Linked DNA regions of Oreochromis niloticus. The protein of the gene in region 1 purifies or fractionates together with the protein of each later gene. This does not show direct contact. Links are inferred from orthologs where the notes say so. Each region holds a gene or a part of one and is shown on either strand. Other genes may lie near its edges.

Evidence for each region.
Region 2: the proteins of ddx39ab (region 1) and api5 fractionate together in Homo sapiens (co-fractionation; 3 studies listed by BioGRID, with this or other methods). This does not show direct contact. The link is inferred for Oreochromis niloticus from reciprocal best matches to the Homo sapiens genes DDX39A and API5.
Region 3: the proteins of ddx39ab (region 1) and thoc1 purify together in Homo sapiens (affinity purification with mass spectrometry; 3 studies listed by BioGRID and IntAct, with this or other methods). This does not show direct contact. The link is inferred for Oreochromis niloticus from reciprocal best matches to the Homo sapiens genes DDX39A and THOC1.

Annotation. Positions count from the first base shown.
Region 1 is NC_031969.2:8,104,047-8,110,416, reverse strand, and holds the start of ddx39ab (DEAD (Asp-Glu-Ala-Asp) box polypeptide 39Ab), read right to left. Parts: upstream 3,417-6,370; 5' UTR 3,261-3,416; intron 2,398-3,260; 5' UTR 2,389-2,397; coding exon 2,181-2,388; intron 1,841-2,180; coding exon 1,713-1,840; intron 1-1,712. UniProt on the Homo sapiens protein: Helicase that plays an essential role in mRNA export and is involved in multiple steps in RNA metabolism including alternative splicing. Regulates nuclear mRNA export to the cytoplasm through association with ECD.
Region 2 is NC_031972.2:43,409,050-43,415,419, forward strand, and holds the start of api5 (apoptosis inhibitor 5), read left to right. Parts: upstream 1-2,907; 5' UTR 2,908-3,164; coding exon 3,165-3,236; intron 3,237-3,685; coding exon 3,686-3,847; intron 3,848-4,011; coding exon 4,012-4,105; intron 4,106-4,189; coding exon 4,190-4,255; intron 4,256-4,862; coding exon 4,863-5,014; intron 5,015-5,556; coding exon 5,557-5,763; intron 5,764-5,941; coding exon 5,942-6,046; intron 6,047-6,370. Other genes in the region: samm50 (sorting and assembly machinery component 50 homolog A), read left to right, coding at 63-134, 237-323, 551-621, 1,058-1,101, 1,193-1,339, 1,683-1,824, 2,238-2,283. UniProt on the Homo sapiens protein: Antiapoptotic factor that may have a role in protein assembly. Negatively regulates ACIN1. By binding to ACIN1, it suppresses ACIN1 cleavage from CASP3 and ACIN1-mediated DNA fragmentation. Also known to efficiently suppress E2F1-induced apoptosis.
Region 3 is NC_031982.2:19,575,730-19,582,099, forward strand, and holds the start of thoc1 (THO complex subunit 1), read left to right. Parts: upstream 1-2,979; 5' UTR 2,980-3,019; coding exon 3,020-3,067; intron 3,068-3,157; coding exon 3,158-3,230; intron 3,231-3,334; coding exon 3,335-3,359; intron 3,360-3,482; coding exon 3,483-3,543; intron 3,544-3,647; coding exon 3,648-3,717; intron 3,718-5,689; coding exon 5,690-5,808; intron 5,809-5,901; coding exon 5,902-5,950; intron 5,951-6,034; coding exon 6,035-6,130; intron 6,131-6,280; coding exon 6,281-6,363; intron 6,364-6,370. UniProt on the Homo sapiens protein: Component of the THO subcomplex of the TREX complex which is thought to couple mRNA transcription, processing and nuclear export, and which specifically associates with spliced mRNA and not with unspliced pre-mRNA.

The DNA.
Region 1 (6,370 bases):
TTACGCCGTAGATTTCCCGCTAAAGCATAATTCAGGCATCACACTTCAGATGATGTTGCACTACCACGTGGCAGAAGTGTCGCAGAAGCAACTCTCTGCTCTGCAGCACTAAAAATACAAGCTGAATCTATTTTTAATAAAAGCAGGGTCGAGGTGCACTGTGCAGATGAGATGGGCGGGAAGTGTGACACTGAAAGTGAATACGTAATCTACTTAAATCTGAAATGAAAAACCCAGTGAACACCAAGCACTCTAGGCCTGTCAAATTTAATAACACAACTGAATAAAAAGTAACAAAATTTAAACAAACAAAAAAACAAAACTAAATTTTATTCACTTCCCATAACTGAATGCGACTCCCTGCTTCCTTAAGTGGCACAGAATGCAAAGCTGGATTTCCAACGATTTACCCGTCGCTGCTGATACTAAAACATATTCCAGTAGTTTTGAAAGTTATTATGAATCAATTTGTGACAGCACTACACAGAATGCTTTTTACAATAGTGCGTTCCTTGTTTTGCACTTACAATATGGTACACAGTTTAAACATTTTATTGTTGTCCTCAAAACTGCATCTCCCAACAAAGAAATCTGCTGGTTATAAGTCACCTATGAAATCTGTTGTTTGCATTTTAATAAGGAACATCATGATCCCAGAAATTCATTAGTTTGTACCAATACCAGTAGAATCACACAGCTGGATAGCGAAACAAAATGACTGGCTGATGCCAGGTACTTAAACTGTTACTAAAACGTTTTAGAATTCTGATCATGTATTTAAATGTTGACATTATTTTACTGACAAGACGCAGACTGAAATGGTAGGATGGCTGCCGAGTAGCCCATTAGTCTTACTAGCAGTGACTGTAACTCGTGTTACAGTTATATTAAGTGAGCACAAACATTTCAAGGTTATTTTACAATGGAGAGTCTCAAACAAAAAAAGCAGTAATCTGTGATTCTGGATAAGTAGGACAAAACTTTGGATGTTGTCATTGTTAACTTAAACTTCCTCAACTTGAACTTTATGAATAGCTCTGGATACCTGTCTTTCAGGTGCCTTGCTAAATTGGAAATCCAAACATTGTTTGCATATCGCCTCTTGCTAATCAATTATCTCAGATTTTGCAGCCACCTGAATGCAAAGCAGGTTCACAGCAGACTCTGCCTTTCTTACAAAAGAGACGGAGCAGAGGTTTGTGGCAGTTAGGCACAAGTTTCCATCTTTCACCTGTTCTTTAAGCTGTAGCTTTCAATTTTTCTGGTTCTTATAAGGACAATAGAATACCTGTAACCACATCCTGCCTCCTTCAGTTTTGGAAGAATTTCTGCCTCCTTGCATAAGCTGACTGTGGTAGCAAAGAAAGACGAGCACTACTACATCTCAAAAATCCTGGTATCAAAATGGTACCATGGGTATTGATTCTGTTGGCATTCCCTAGCTTTGACTAAGACTGATTTTGATCAATCTTGTTTGTGCTGTCTCACAGCTGGCTCTGACTTCAGCTAAGTTAAAAAACAAAACAACAAAAACATTTGGACCTCTATCAGCCTTTATTGGCTTGTTCATTAATTACCAGACTAATAACATTCATAGCCAATAAATGAAAAGCTCAACATTGAAGGCACTTCTTTGTTTCTTTTATTGAACCCAACCCATGTAAACAATTAATTTACTACACAGTCAAAGCATGTTAAACACACATACTAACCTGTCCGTCAACGGGTTCGATCTGTTGCAGGGTCGCCAACACAAACACAGCCGTCTTGCCCATACCAGATTTGGCTTGGCACAGAATGTCCATGCCCAGGATAGCTTGTGGGATGCATTCATGCTGCACTGTGTTTTTAAACGACACAACACAAATATTAATGTTAAGTACAGTCTTATTATTACCTGCAAATCAATTACTTTGAGTTGCTATAAAGAGCACAAGAGGAGTGGCAGTCCTGCTGGGAGTGGTGCATTTTTTTTAGACACACAAAGCAAGTCAAGCTACTCAAAAACTCTTAATGTAGGTAAGCAAGATAAGGTGAGCACTGTTTAAAAATATGCAGACTTACAACTTCTGACTGGTGCTACCAGTGTAGTGTAAGAGTATGCCATAAACAAACTCCATTGCCAGTTCCCCGCTAGTCCCATTTAACAAAAGGTACCAGAACAGTTGAATGCGTCTCACCTTCAGATGGATGCTCAAAACCACAGTCAATGATGGCCCGGAGAAGCTCCGGCTTCAGAAGAAAATCCCTGAAGCCAGAGCTGTGGATGGAAACATAGGAACCTTTCACCTCCTTCTTGCCTGCTGGGGTTGCACTCTCGGGGGCTCCTTGAGGCTCCTCATCCTCTTCATAATCAAGGAGCTCGTTGTCAACGTCATTCTCAGCCATTGTATTTGTCTGGAACAAAGAAAATACAGCTGAGTATTAATGATCACTATCTTTCATCTGTGTCTGTAAGAGAAGGCGCGCTTTGCTTAGATTATATGAAGCGAGGTTCTTATTCGAGCCCACTTGTTGGACATATTTTAATACATTTAAAAAGTCGTTTTTTATTCTATCATTACAAGGCGTTTTTGACTTTGTGCAACTATGAAAATCGTGGTTGGTGATAAACGTGACTCCAAACATTAGCTTTATTGTGTATAACTCGAACTCCATTTTAAAGAGTAAGCCTGTGATTAAGAAATGCTAAGCAATTAAGAAAACGCAACAAAGCGGGCCTAAATATGAATACGCTGTAGTGTTTTGTAAACAGAAACTATTCTCTACGACCACGTACACTCAATATAACAAACAAGGTCAAAACCGTAACCGACGATGTCAAATAGACCAAACCGGTTAGCTTCTAAGCGCATACAACACTAGAAAGCCATTGTGTTGCATAACCATTGCTAACGTGGCAAGCTAATCCTCTACACGACAACAACTGATCCGCTACGACCAACTAAATATTCCCAACAGCATAGGCAGGCGATCTTTTCGTAACTGTAACGGGAGTGTTATATGAACGACAAAAAGGCGGCATATTTCGTGTAAATACGGAAATCTAAGTGGCGATTGCTTTGCTAGGCTATCAAATGCTAGGCTACAAAACGCTAAGTAACACCGCCCCCTGAAACAAACAACGAAAGGTTATTTTTAGCGATAGCAAACACTACTTCAGCCCAAATTAAATAAATATAATTTACAAGCTTCTGTGGGTGAAACGAGACGCGGAAAGCCGCCCAAGCGGGACAATGAAGTAGTTCAAGAATTCCTACCGTTTCAGTGTTAGCTTCGACTGCCCCGATAGATCACAACCGCATGGAGAGGCCTCAGTTGGTTTATACCACCAACCGGAAGTTCCGCCTCGGCTAAAGCGGGTCGATATCATTGGCCCGTTTAGGCGACCTCTGTGAAAAGCAGCCTGTGATTGGACAGAAAGTGTGCCGCAGTCCGTCGCAGTTGAAAAAAGCGGGACACGGTTGTAGCTGCTCTCCGTAGGGGAGCTCGGGAGGGACATGGGAAATAAATCAATACAGTCACGTTTTGCTGCAATATAAGTATAAAATTAACCGTGATGTGTTTGCGTATGATAATGCAGGCCTGTGACCTTAAATATAAAACAGCTTCCTGGAATTGATTCAGATTGGTTCAATTTTGTTTGTTTTTGTTTCACAGAAATCGTTAAAATTGTATGAAATGTAGAAATTTAAGTCGCGCGAGGCAAAACTCCTCTCCAGGATGTGATATTAACAGTGTGAAGAAATTCGGACTCCATCAATAAAAGTATATGTAACTGTGATTTCTACGTTTCCTTGCACAAGTCTAAATCAAGCTTTAATTCTGGAAACATTAAACACTGAGAATTAAAAGGCTTTAGTGCCCTCTAGTGGTCACAATGGACACAGTGTGGTCCAGCATTAACGTCGTTGAAGCATCATTAACGCTTATAACCTTTTATTAAAATCATAATTACGAATAACAAACGGGGAGCCAAGGACTAATAATAACTGTATTAATAACGAGAAGTAGCAGCATTTCCAACTAGACATGGATACACTGGCATCAGGTCTCAGCTTTCATAATGCTTAATAAATACTTTTGTACAGGAAGCAATCAGGAAGTATCTGCAGATCTGCAGAAATCTTTACAAAATAATAAATTTTATTGCTCTGTCGTCTATAAAATCACACATTCTTTAACAGGAAAACTACAGATTCTTTAACAGGAAAACTACAGATACAGAATGACAAGTAGTGTTCTTTAAAGCGGTGCTGAGCAGGATCAATGTCCACAAGGCTGCAGGTCCTGATGGCATCCCCGGGCGTGTTCTCAGAGCGTGTTCTGGGGAGCTTGCAGGAGTCCTGACAGACATATTCAACCTGTCCTTTGCCCACGCTGTGGTACCGGCCTGCTTCAAATCCACCTCCATCGTCCAGATACCCAAAAACTCCAACCCATCTAGCCTCAATGACTACCGCCCAGTAGCACTCACCCCCATCATCACTAAGTGCTTAGAGCAGCTGGTCCTAGCACACTTCAAATCCTGTCTCCCCCCCCACCCTGGACCCCCACCAATTCGCATACCGCCAGAACAGGAGCACAGAGGATGCAGTCTCCATCACACTGCACTCTGTCCTCTCACACCTGGACAACAACAACACCTACGCCAGAATGCTGTTTATAGACTTCAGTTCAGCATTCAATACAATCCACCCCTCACAACTCATCAGGAAACTGACAGACCTGGGCATCAGTTCCCTCATCTGCAAATGGTTACTGGACTTCCTGACCAACCGCCCCCAACATGTCCGGCTGGACAACCGCTGCTCATCAACAATCACAATGAACACCGGTGTACCACAAGGCTGTGTGATGAGCCCTTTCCTCTACTCCCTCTTCACCCATGACTGCAGACCTGCTGATGGTTCCAACACCATCATTAAGTTTGCAGATGACACCACGGTGATTGGCCTCATCAGTGACAACGATGAGACCGCCTACAGGGAGGAGGTGGATCGTCTGGCTGAGTGGTGCAACAGAAACAACCTGCTGCTTAACACTGAGAAGACCAAGGAGCTCATCGTGGACTACAGGAGGAATGCTGACCCACATCCACCCATCCACATTAAGGGGACGGCTGTGGAGAGTGTGAGCAGCTTCAAGTTCCTGGGTGTCCACATCTCCGAGGATCTCATCTGGACGACCAACTGCTCCAAGCTGGTCAAGAAGGCTCACCAGCGCCTCTTCTTCTTGAGGCCTCTGAGGAAGAACCACCTGTCCTCAGACATCCTGGTGAACTTCTATTGCTGCACCATCGAGTGCATCCTGACCAACTGTATAACAGTCTGGTACGGGAACTGCTCTGCCTCGGACTGGAAGGTGTTGCAGAGGGTCGTGAAAACTGCCCAGCGCATCGCCGGAGCACCACTTCCTGCCATAAAGGACATCTACAGGAAGCGGTGTCTGAAAAGGGCTGGGAAGATCATCAAAGACCCCAGTCACCCATCACATGGACTCTTCACCCTCCTGCCCTCTGGGAGGCGCTACAGGAGCCTCCGGACTAAGACCACCAGGTACCGGAACAGCTTCTTCCCCACAGCTGTCAGACTCCTGAACTCTGCCTCCTGACATCTGACCCACGTTAAACTCATGGACTGAACATACACACACCCACAACCACCTACACCCACACACACAATGGACAACCGTACCCTCAAACACACAATAATAACATGGACTGAACCACCACTCACAACCACTAGCACTTTATATAGCCTCTGTAGAAATTATCCACATATCTCACTTATCTTAACTGCACTACTGTATAGTTCTGTGTAAATAATCATTCTGTACATACAATAATTTTTAATCCTACAACTGTTTATAACTTGCATAGTTCACATTTCTGTATAACTGTATATCTCATATTTCTGTATAGTTTTTATTTCATATTCTGTATAGTTTTTCATATTTATATCCTGTTCATAGCCTGTACATAGCTTGTACTCACTACAGCCTGTACATACTTATAGTTATAGAATATTCATAACATACTTCATACCGTGTACATTATAACATACCATAATAGACCCATTTCTGTAATATACTTACATATCTATATTATTGCTAACATATATTGTAATATATCTATATCACGACTAAAGCACTTCTGGATGGATGCAAACTGCATTTCGTTGCCCTGTACCTGTGCATGTGCAATGACAATAAAGTTGAATTCTATTCTATTCTATTCTATTCTATTCTATTCTATTCTATTCTAAATGTATTAATGGAGATGTCCACACTCATTTGAATTCTAATTAACTCAGAATGTATGCATTCATCACAGATGTTCTTATTCCAAAATATTCCAGAAATATTTTTC
Region 2 (6,370 bases), on another chromosome or scaffold:
GCCCGAATCTTCTCAAAGGCTCTGTAAAAATAAACCTGCAAATATGATGTTTTGAATTTCAGCATGCTATGGTGATTGACACCAGAAACTCCTCCATCCTTCCCAGGAAGGGTGGTCTGTTGAAGATCCATCAGGTTTGTTGTTTACCGCTAAATTGGATCTATTTTAAATGCTATGTAGAAGGTTAGTGACTATTATCATACACAAGTTTGACATTTTGTTTGGTGGTTGCGTAGGAACTTGCTGGTTACACTGGGGGAGATGCCAGTTTCTTAAAGGAAGACTTTGAGATCCAGCTCAACAAAACACTCTTCTGGGACTCAGTGAGATTTTTCATTTTACATTTCAGTCAGTTGCCACAAAATCTTCCCTAAAATTAGCCTGTTATAAAGGCTGTTATGCTGATTAGATAGCTTTACTAGCCAACTCATTGACTATTTATGGTTAATGATTATTGATGTGCAATAATAAGGTAATGAAAAAATAGCCTGTTAACAGCTGGCCTCTTTTTGCTGATTCAACTTGACTAAACACTGAATTTTTCCCTCAGGTCCTTTCTGCCTCATTGTGGGGTGGTTTGCTTCTACCCATTGGTGATAAGCCAACAAGTATAGCAGACAGGTAAAAACTCACAGCACACTGGCATTATTAACCAGAGGTTTGATTGTCCTAGAGCTTTGTAAATTAGACTGTTGAAAGTGATGTTGCTGTCCATATTTGTCTACATAAACAGCTATAGGGGTTAGCATTTAAATCTTTAAAAGATCACTTTTAAAATGGGAAACTTGGGCAGCTTCTGGAGTTACAAATAGCATATTTTTTTCTAATTCAAAGCAGATTTATCTGACTCCCTTAATGACTGTCTGACTCTGGTGTGGCTCAAAATTTGAAACTATCTGGTCTTATTCCTAAAACCATCCATCAATCCTTTTCTTCCACTTATCCAATTCAGGGTTGCGGGTGGGCTGGAGCCTTTTCCGATTGCTATAGGGAAAGACATATAAAGTTCAGTTTAATATAAATTTTTTGTGTGTTTTGTACTTTTTTGATATTCTAGGTTCTATCTTGGCGGCCCCACCAGTATGGGCCCACAGAGTGAAGGTGAGGCATTACCTCAGATAAGCTGCTTGGTAACAGAATGAAGTTTGATGATTAATTGAAAGGTTATGTGCTGGCTTTACTGGTATGGCAGGCGACTACCTGGGGGGAGAAGCCTACTGGGCTGGAGGCCTCCACCTCTACACCCCTCTACCCTTCAGACCAGGCATGGGAGGCTTTGGTGACCTCTTCCGAACCCACTTCTTCCTCAATGCTGGGAACCTTTGTAACCTCAACTATGGTGAGCTTTTAAAACAGTTGAGCACCTGTTATTTAATCATGCTAGATCTTGGTCAGACCTTGAGATTTGTGACTGAACTTTTTAATTCAGTTTGGCTCACTTTGAACTTGGTTAATGTGCAATAACACTAAGTGTAATTTTGTTTTCTGACAACATAGTGTTTTTTATTCTGTTGTATATAGTATCTTATTCTATTATATATCTTATCTTATCTTATCTCTCTCTTAAACTTATTTCTATCAAGAGCAGATTGGGATTTTATGTTGTTAGGACAAGTATTACTCAGATTATGAATACATGCATTTGCCTATATGGTTGAGTTCATATGTACATTTTTGCTCAGGTGAGGGTCCACAAGCACATTTGAAGAAACTGGCTGAATGTATACGTTGGTCATATGGACTGGGCATTGTGCTGCGCTTGGGGAACATTGCCAGGCTTGAGCTGAATTACTGCATTCCCATGGGAGTCCAGAGTGGAGACAGGTAATGCTAATTACATCAGCTAGTCTAAGATAAGCTGATTGGGACTTTACGGTTTCTTTAAAGACATATTAGGCCAATAGAATTGCTGTAAATAGATGATGAATGATGAATTTTAGTCTGAAAAGAGCAACACAGTCTAACTGACAACAATCAAATTAAGTATAGTGGTGGTTTCTTTAACGTCACTAATTAATTTACTGTACATTACAGATCTGTTTAAATGTGACACTAAAGAACTTATCACTCTAAGTTTGGCAAGTATGAAACAGTGTCAGAACATTGCTATAGGAAAATTAAGAAATGGATTACTTAAAAAAATTCTGTATGACATTGCAGTTGTAATGATGTGCAACAGAAATAAGATAATAAGTGTCTTTCAACTACATTTCAATGATTCTTTATTGTCTTTGCAGGATATGTGACGGGGTCCAGTTTGGAGCGGGAATCAGATTCTTATGAAACTGCATTTCTTTCCTGCCAGATAATTGCTTGTACAGAATTGTTGCAACCAGTTTAGTTCAATAAAACTATTTGCACTGACTTTCTGTTGTGATCTCTGTTTTTTTTTTCCTTTTTTTCTTATCATTACATTAGTGAGAGCTGACCCTGAGTATGCCACAAAACTGGTTACGGATGGACAAAGAAAGCTCTATGAACCTGGGTCTTTATTTCCAAAGACTAAATTAAGACCTGTAACTTTGCCATGTGGTCATATACAAATACATGCTACAAACTGATGGGCATTCAGCCTTAAACCACTGCCTCCTTCCTTTTGTGCAACTAGAACTTTTGTGTGGCTGATTAGAAATATTTTTTTTTTAAAAGAAACATAAATGTGTAAGTATATGCCTATACAAGCAGTGTAAAACAAAAAAATATTTATATATAAGGGGCATTACACCCAAAAAAAATAGTATTACGTTACCCGTACTTATTAGTTAAGGTATTACCTGTTTATGCTAGGTTTAGGTCCACAGACCACACCTCTTCTTAACATGAGTAGTTTGTGCGCATCGATTTGGCGCACACTCATGTCACGTGCCTGCTGGCGCTATGCGATTGGCCAAACCCGCGCATGCGCTGTACTCGGTATTCCGTAGCTTTTTTAGCCAGCACGCCAGAGAGTAGCGCGAAGAAGACAGGCAGTAGGGGGTATTCATTCACGGAATTCTCGAAATTTCATCTTTCCGTCCTGTTTCCTGACAAGATAACTCTCCACATTACGGCGTTGTTTGTTTCGCAGTCGTCCGACGCGGAGCAAAAGCAACCTGCGACGGGTTTTACTTTGTGGATTTTTCAGAGGTCTTATCTGTGAGCAGCAGTCACTTGAAATCACGCTGATGGCGGTCACAATTGAGGATCTCTATCGTAGCTACGGGATCCTTGCTGATGCCAAGGACAACCTCAGTCAGGTAAATAAACGTCGCCTAGTATGTTTTAAACTGAACATAGTTCTGTTACCTTGCAGCAGTGTATTGTTTTACTTTCAACGTTGCTAACTTTTCTGGTTTACATAACATTTGTTTGTGTGTGCTAAGCTAACTGTAGCTAGTTATAGTAATGACCGGGCTAATGTTAATAGCTTCGCCGTGGCGATCCATAAGCCAAACCAAGTTTACTACTACATTCATTATTTTTAAGTTGAAGTTTAAACTTTTCCACTCGCAAAATACTTTAGGCCACAAATGGGAAGTGGCTATAGTTTGATTCAGATTTCACCGCGATCTATCTCATTTAGGATGTTATACTATACGTGTTCATTTGTTGTGATCTACAGAAACAATGATAAATCTCAGCTAAATGAAAGCGTTATTAAAGACTCATTGTGTAATGTAGACTGTAATGTACCATCATTTTGCAGCACAAGGATGCCTACCAGGTAATCGTGGATGGTGTGAAGGGTGGCCCCAAGGAGAAGCGTCTGGCAGCACAGTTTATTCCCAAGTTCTTCAGCAGCTTTCCTGAACTTGCAGATGCAGCTATTAATGCCCAACTAGATCTCTGTGAAGATGAGGATGTTTCGGTGAGTATTAACTAACACATGTAGCCATGAACCTAAATACCGTCAACAGTAGCTGCAAATTTTGATTTGTCTGTTTCCAGATTGATATTGGACGTCTTTCAGGGATTGAATGTGTTCACAGTATTAATTTTTATTTCTCTTTCTGTGTACTTTTCATTGACCAGATCCGACGACAGGCCATCAAAGAGCTCCCGCGCTTTGCAACTGGTGACAACATCCCCAGAGTTGCAGATATTCTCACCCAGCTTCTTCAGACAGGTAACAATTTTTCACAAAAGCTACTCATACCCCAACAGTATTGTTGATCTCTGCTAATGTTTGTTGACGTTTTTGTGCTTCCAGATGATACGGCAGAGTTTAACCAAGTGAATGCAGCACTTATTTCTATCTTCAAGATGGATGCCAGGGGTAAGTTTCTTTTTCCCCTGGGGCAAAACTGAAATGTAGCTAGGCCTGTTTTAATTATTAAAACTGACTTTTTTTGTTGTTGTTTATTTTGTTTGTTTAGTGTGAATAAAATAATGTTAACCTATCACAGCCATGGTTCCAAAGAAGTAAAATGAATTTTGGATATTATGTCACTTGAGCAAAAGTTTTTAATAGAATGACCCTTTAAATTTTTACAACATAAACACAGAAACAAGCCTGACACAAAGTAGCAGGTCAACATCAAGAGCTGCAATGGGGATAAAGCCTTTTGTATAAAATTCTTATTCTGTACAAATCTTTGCAACCCTGCTTGATCAGTCAGTCTCACTCAAATCACATTCAATTACATCTTGAGAGCCAGCACAATGGGCTCAATTACACTCAGGATCAGGTCGATTATCCATCTCATATAGCTTATAAGCCTGGGATATTGGAGTGCAAACATTTACCTGAGAATATATTTATATATTCACACTATATTTGTGCATGATATCATGCTGTGACACATGTGTTACCTGTTTATTCAGAGAGGACACTCCATATATATCACAATATTTTTAAATTGTTTTTTCTTTTTGTCATTCAGGAACCCTTGGGGGACTCTTCTCTCAGATCCTGCAGGGAGAGGATATAGTGAGAGAAAGGGCCATCAAGTTTCTATCAACTAAACTGAAGACCCTGCCAGAGGATGTCATGACAAAGGAGGTGGAGGAGTACGTCTTTGCCGAAACAAAGAAGGTTTGTAGATTAACGAGTGATCGTTCAGGTGTAAGTTTCTCTGTGCCTGAATGTAACACGGGTAATTTACATGAGAAGACACATGGCTGTCCGGACTAGGGGTGTGTATAGAGTACTGATTGTTTTGGGTGTGGCTGATAGTTTTGCCTTTGTTTTGTTAATTAATGACATTGACTAGTGAACCTGTGATGTGAATCACTCAACTCTTGTTTAATCCATTTAAGTGCAGTTGTTTAGGGTATGACCTTAAAAAGCAGAGGTGAGTTTCTCTCACTTGCCTATGGGCTACTTTCATTGAAACTGAGCTATCCTTAGTGGTCCTTTGTTGGGGGAAATCTGAAATTTTTTTAATGTTGACACTAAAGCTGTCCAGGAGGTATTGGACCATACATTTAGCATTGCAAAAAAAATCTTTGTTGACCAAGTTTTGGTTGGCTGCAGGAACAAAAACCGACAAGTTGCAAAAAGTCACAAATGAACATTTTTGCATAACACATCCAAGATAAGAACACATTCTGAGCAGTTGTTTGTCTTCTTTGCAGGTGATGGAGGATGTGACAGGAGAGGAGTTTGTGCTGTTGATGCGTGTAGTGTCGGGTCTACGGGTACTGCAGACTGTAAATGGGAGGCAGCAGCTGGTGGAGCTGGTGGTGGAGCAAGCTTTCCTGGAGCAGGCCCTCAACCCAGCTGACCCCGACACTGTGGACCGCCTGCTGCAGTGCACACGCCAGGCCCTACCGCTGTTCTCTGTAAGTAACTTATGCACTTTAAAGCAGAGGTGTTTAAAATCAGATCATTTCATTATAAGAAGCTTTTGTTTTATCGGTCTATTCAGTTAAAACTTTTACTTTGAGTTATGTTACTTTATATAATTAGTCATTTTTTTGTTTTTGTTTTTTTTTCCTGTCTCTCTTTTGTCTCTTGTAGAAAAATGTCCATTCCACACGTTTTGTAACCTACTTCTGTGAACACGTCCTGCCAAACCTCAGCACCCTGACAAGTCCTGTGGCTGAGTTGGACATTCAGTTGGAAGTGAGTACCTTTTTAAACTGTAAATGAGTGATCCTGAAGTGAGTTTAAAATGTAATGCTGGTTAGTGTGTCACGCTCACTCTTATGTAGTTGTATACGGTTGTTTATTGTCAGTATTAACTTGTAAGAGGAAATCAACCTGCTTAGTGTCCCTCTCTGAGATCTCTAAAGATGAGAGCACCTAATATGCAAATTGATGGCACTATGTTGAGTACAACATAAACTTCCTCAGCCACATTCAGATCACACCCTCTCAGACTTTTCTGGTGGAAAACCTGTAATTCTACCCAAAACATTCTGCTGGTGCTTTGCCAGTAGCGGTGCA
Region 3 (6,370 bases), on another chromosome or scaffold:
ACACATGCATTAACTGGATGCATATTTTTTAAATTTTTATGATATATGTAAATACAGAAAAAAAACCTGTCTTGTATTTTATGCCACAACGTAATACTTAAAGAAGCCATTTTTGTGACTATAGCTTTAATCTATGAATAAAACAATGACAGACTGGATCATTAATGATTGACATAACAGCTCACTGTTCTGTGTGACCTTTTGAACAGTAGATCATATCAAAGCATTCAAGCCCTGCAGCCCAGTAGTTGCAGTGTCAATTGTATGGCCACAACACACGGAAATGTTCCTTCACAAAGACAGACATGCACAAAACACATCAACATGACTGCAGTGACCTCCGTTAGGTCTACTCATTAACACTGAATGCCAAACCTGAACACACTGGCCTGTCCCTGACCTGAACTCTAACTACGCAGGACGTCTACAATAGAATTTTAATTTCAGTACCACCTCTATACTTCAGGTATAGAAATTAGGAAGAAAAAAACTAAAGGGACTTTGACCAGGAGAGAGTGAATGTCAAACATATAGGCTGAGAGCACAAACATACACACATGCACCTTCCACATGTATGCAAATGGACACGGAGCTTTTAGAGGGTCCAATTTAGAAATTTAAATGGATTCACAAAGTTTAAAAACTTCATTAAAGTTTTTATTATTTTCATGGACATATAAAAGCATAAAGATTTGTCATTCTTGACAAATTTATTTGAGTCATACGGAGAAAAATAGTATAGTACTTTAGACCTCAAATCTCTTCATCTGATGGTTTTATGCATTTCTAGATCCACTGTGATCTGTAATGCACATGCAATAAGACATACTGTTGAACCTGCACTTGTTTTATTTTTATCTCAACCGCTTCAACATGTTTTCTAAATAGATGGTCTATTAAATCGGAACTTTTGCTTACTTGAATTAAAGGTGTGTTATTATGCAATTGTTTTACTGCTCTGGCCCATTTGAGATCAAACTGCTTATATGTGGTCCATTAACTAAACAGAGTTTGACACCCCCTGCTTTTAACTGCAACGTGGAACTAAATGGTATGAAACACTGCCGCCTTCTGGTCTAACTTGGATTTATCCACATGGCCACACTGAGTGCAATCATGCTGTTAAATCATTAAGAGGTGGTTTCCCAGACATGAATTAAGCTAAAACATCTTTTTAAACCAATTTAGCATAAATTAGCTTTCTCATTACTGGTATGAGAAAGTCCTAGACTTAGCCTAGTCCACAGTGATATAAACTGCTTTCTTAAAGTAAGATTTGGGACTAAATTAAAGCTTAAATTGAAGCTCACAAGAGATTTTTTCCTCAGATTTGTGCTGTTTTTCTAAGATAACCATTAATGTCACCAGCTAGACAATGTCTTGCTGACAGAAGTGAGCCATTGCTGCAGTTTTTGGAAACTGAAGGAAATTCTTACACTCATTTTTACACTTTTTGAATCCAAGCTTTCGTCTGTGAGAATCGCCTGTCCCAGTTTTTAACTTTTCACAGAGAATCTGGACCTGTGACTCCCAGGAGTTACAGGTTACAAAGACTGAATACATACACCAAAAAATGTCTTTCTATTTCAGATTCTGAGGAATCACAAAAAGTGGTTTCTACAAATCTCCACAACATATGCACTGATCAGATAAAGTTTTCAAATAATGTTGTGCAGTGGAAAAGTAAAATTCACCATACCCCTTGTTTCCTAAACTAAGACTAATGTAGACTTACTTAGACTCTTTTGGCTTTGGGTTTCTTGAAAGGCACTATATAAATCTAGGCTATTATTGTTCATCTCTGTATACACAGTTTGAAAGTGGAGAGAATAACTGAATGTTGCTCAGTGACAGTGGGTACGGTTAGAGGTTTTGTTTGCACCATACTTGCACCCAACGGTGGTACAGCCAGGCTCGTGTTTTCATTAGGGTTTCCAGTGCCTTTGCAAAACCCTTCAGTTCAAGCCAAAAAGATGACACATTGTCATCAGCGCCACACCTTTTTTCATGGCTATCTAAAGCAGAAGGGGTGCCCATATCTCCCAACAATCCATCAGCTGCCTAATACCACACAGAAGGACACAGAGATGTTTCTGCATTGTGCCACTTTTAGTAGGAATCTACCTTTCCATCCTTTTGTTCAGACCACAGTTATGAAGAAATAAAGTGTACACTAGAAGTAAAATTTTCTATTTCATCTGGAATCCTCCATAAAAAGAAAAGGCATCCAGCACAATATATTAAAATATTTCTTTCATACGTTTTGGTTTTGATATGACATGTAAGAAAGTCATGTATCTCCCTATCACATCTTCATGTCCACTTTAGCATATATGCATGAATTTCAGTAGCTAGTCTTTCATGGTTACTGGGCCTTTTATGGTGACCAGTACTGATAGATATTGCTACCCCTTGCTTCCAAGGATGTGGAGGGTAAACCACCTTATATGTCTTCAGTTTTCTCCATAGTACACGTTCCTTGAAAGAGAAAGAAAAGTTCATATAAATGTAAAAATAATAATAATAATAATAATAATCAAAAATGTAGATAAAAGTTCAAATCAGAGGAGACAAACAAATAAAAGTTTGAAAGGAGAAAAGGGAAAGGCCAAAGGAGAACTTCTTACATACTCAGTGTATGTGTGAGATCCATGTGAACAGCCAATGTTATCCTCATCTGGTTATGTTCTCCAAAGGCTCCTGGACCTCCATTATTCCTTAAGTCCTTGTTATTATGACTCTCCTGCACACTAAAAAGTGTTAGTTTAACAATTAGGCAAATATGATGTACTGTGAGGAAAATGTTTAACAATTACACCATTACCATAATAATTTGCATGATACAAGTTTTTGTTTTTTTTTTTTAATGGTGGAAAGTGCGCTGGAGACATAAACTTTCACATTGCACCTTGACTGTAATTAATTTTAAATGCAATCCTGCACCGCTCTCGACCCTTTTCCCCACACTCAAAGAAGCCGGAACAACTTTATCGGCACTTCCGGTTGCCAAAAAGAGACGATGTCGCCGTCTTCATTTAATTTTGTCGACGCTAAAGACAAATTTACGGTAAGAAAACACAGAACTTCAGCAACGTATAAAAATATGTGCAGTTATATATTTTATATCACAGTTAAAATCCTAGCCTGGGTTTGTTAGTGTAGCATGTCGCGTGTTGTTACCATAACAGATGAAGCTAAGCTAACACAGACGCTAACCAACGATGCCGTTTGTTTCATAAATGTTTTCTAATTCTCCTTCTTCTTCTTCTTCACACAATCTCAGGCGTCTGCCGTCCAGGCTTTGACTGGAAAAAAGCATCAAACCTTTGATCAGTATTTTTTAACCAGATCCCCGGCAAGTAAGTGAAGTTGTTAGTTCTTGCTAACTAATGTATTGTAATTATTTCTGTTGGCTATTATACTCTATAATAATGGAGGAAGGGATGCAACTTTACTGATCGCTTGTTTTTCTCACATTACAGTGAGGCGGAAAAGAAGACAACCCTCGATCAGGCTCTGAGGGGAGTTCTTGGTGATCTGATTGTAAGAAATGCTTTTTGTTTGTTTGTTTCTAGTACGCGTTTGTTCAATTTTTTTTTATTAAATTACCCTCAAAATCCTCAAACGATATATTCAAATGTTTCCAGGTTGAGCAAAAGTTGAGGTGTGATGACTACCTAGCTCTCATTTACCTGAGCATTGATGGCGTTACAGAAGGTATGTTACTCAACTAGGGGTCTCATAAGTAGATCCAGGTGATACACTGATTTTTAAGATTTAAAAAAAAAAAAAAAAAGTTTATTCCTTTTGTGCCGGGAAAGAAACCTGTACCATAAATAAAAACTAAAAACACTTTTTGATTAGTGTTTTAGCTCTTTAGTTCTCTATGAACTAAAGAGCTAAAATGTTCTCTTTGAACATTCAGCCAGTGCAAAAATCTGTGACACAACATATAAATATCAGCCACTGCCTTGTGAATGCCAAGTTATTTCCTATTATTCTCATAGCATACATCACTCAAAATGAGCACATAGTAGCATGTGGCTGATATATGTGTGCGTCCCAATTGATACCATACTTTTATAGCCAAAGAAAATCCTTTTTGGACATACATGTGTGAGAAATCCCTATTGCACATCTACTGAGGCAATTTGGCAGGTCTGTTATGCTGTGGGGGGGGGTTTACAGATATGCTTCTGATCCACTTGCCCCTATTTGTTAAAAGTAGAGATGGACCGATCCGATATTACGTATCGGTATTGGTCCGATACTGACCTAAATTACTGGATCGGATATCGGAGAGAAATAAAAAATGTAATCCGATCCATTAAATATAAAAAAAACACCTCACAAAACTTGCGACACGGCGTAACTCGGCTCATAACCGTAGCACGTCGGAGCAGTATGCATCACGTGATAGAGCAGCTGTGTGTATTTGTAGCCTCGCTACCAAACCAACATTTCATCTCCGAGGAAGTTATCCCACAGAGAAGTAAAGCAAGTGTGTAAGTTCATCTCTGAATGTTTGTAAAGCATTCCCGCGTTAAGCTTAACAACCGATATATGGAGCGACTGCCTCTCTCTCTCTCCCTCACCTTCCTGCGGCTACTTCAATCGTGAAACTGATCAATGATCAGCTGATCGGCTTTTCTGTCGTGAGTCCGTCTCTCTTCTTTGTTTTTGGTCCACTTTGCACCAGAAGGAGGAAACCAGCGGCTGAACAACAGCAGCACGTTTAAGCTTGATAAGCTGTTGTTAGAATTTATTTAATATTACTTTCTACACCAGGATCCTTTTCTACGTAGCTGACCGCTGGTAACTGTGCAGGGGCGGATCTAGCAAAGTTTAGCCAGGGGGGCCGATAGGGCATTAACAGGGAAAAGGGGGGCACAAAGACATACTTTTCTTTCTTATTCTCATTTAAAACGTCTAGCTTTTAATAAATAATTATCTGAATCTTACACCCAAAGTTTTAATCTGATGTAAAATGTATAGAAGTCCATTACTGTATATAGTAACTGTTAAGTCTAATATACCCTAATAAGCTATAGTACTTTTTTCTTTGAGAAGGTACCATCTGTGCAGTCTGCAGTTCTGTTGAAGAAAGATGTTGAATCTATTTAATTATTCTTGAAAAATAATTTATTTCTGTGCATTTTTTTCCACCTTGCATCAAATTAAAGTTGATTACATCGATTAAGCATCATGAGGTGGAGGGTGGGTGGTTCCCTATTTTTTTTTTTTTTCTGGGAGTTTGCAACCCTGTTAGTTAGGTTGCTTAATATTTCTGCTAAGTACTCTTTAAAATACCAGAATAGGGAGGATTAAGTTTATTAGATTGATCAGTGTTGCTGAACTATGAAATATTTTGGGCGCAGTGTATTTTTTACATACAGAATAGCTTTAGTGTTGTTGTTTATTTAAACTTGAGGATGAACTTATACAAAATGCAGCAAGATATTAAAAAAACAGTTTTATTGATTAAAAAACACACTGTATCGGATTCATATCGGTATCGGCAGATATCCAAATTTATGATATCGGTATCGGACATAAAAAAAAGTGGTATCGTGCCATCTCTAATTAAAAGCATGCATTTTGCAAGCAGACTGCTAAGGTAATCTTCTGTAAGTCTTAGAGACAATGTGTCATGTATGAAGAAACTTAAAAGACTTGTGGTCCACTGCAGGTATCTGTTCTGCTACGACCCCTTTCGTCCTGCTGGGAGACGTGCTGGACTGTCTTCCTTTGGACCTGTGTGACAAAATCTTCTCTTTTGTCGAAGAGAACGTCTCCACCTGGAAATCGGTAAATAAATTCCAGCTATTGAGTAAAGGCCCCCACAAATTTGTCCTGCGTTGATCACATGTTTACCAAAGCTGTGCTCTATTTTTCTTACAGAACTCCTTTTACACTGCAGGGAAGAATTATTTATTGAGGATGTGCAATGGTAAAGAGGTTATCTCATCATTTTGTGACATATGAAGCTTTTTATCTTTAAAATGCAGAGCAGTGTATTTTCCTGTCTGTGTAGATCTCTTAAGGAGGCTGTCCAAATCTCAGAACACAGTTTTCTGCGGGCGAATCCAGCTCTTCCTGGCACGTCTCTTCCCTCTGTCTGAAAAATCAGGTAAGAACAGCAGTATTTTATCATTATAAATAAATAAACCAACATAAACCTTTTGAAGATGAGGTTTGCAATCATTCATGGCACTCTGGCAACCCCATTCACAGCTTCTCTGTTCGAGTGATTCTTCTTTTTATTTTGTTTGCTTTCCAGGTCTAAATCTCCAGAGCCAGTTTAATCTAGACAATATAACAGTGTTCAACAAAAATGAACAAGAAAGCACTCTCGGCCAGAAGGTAAAGA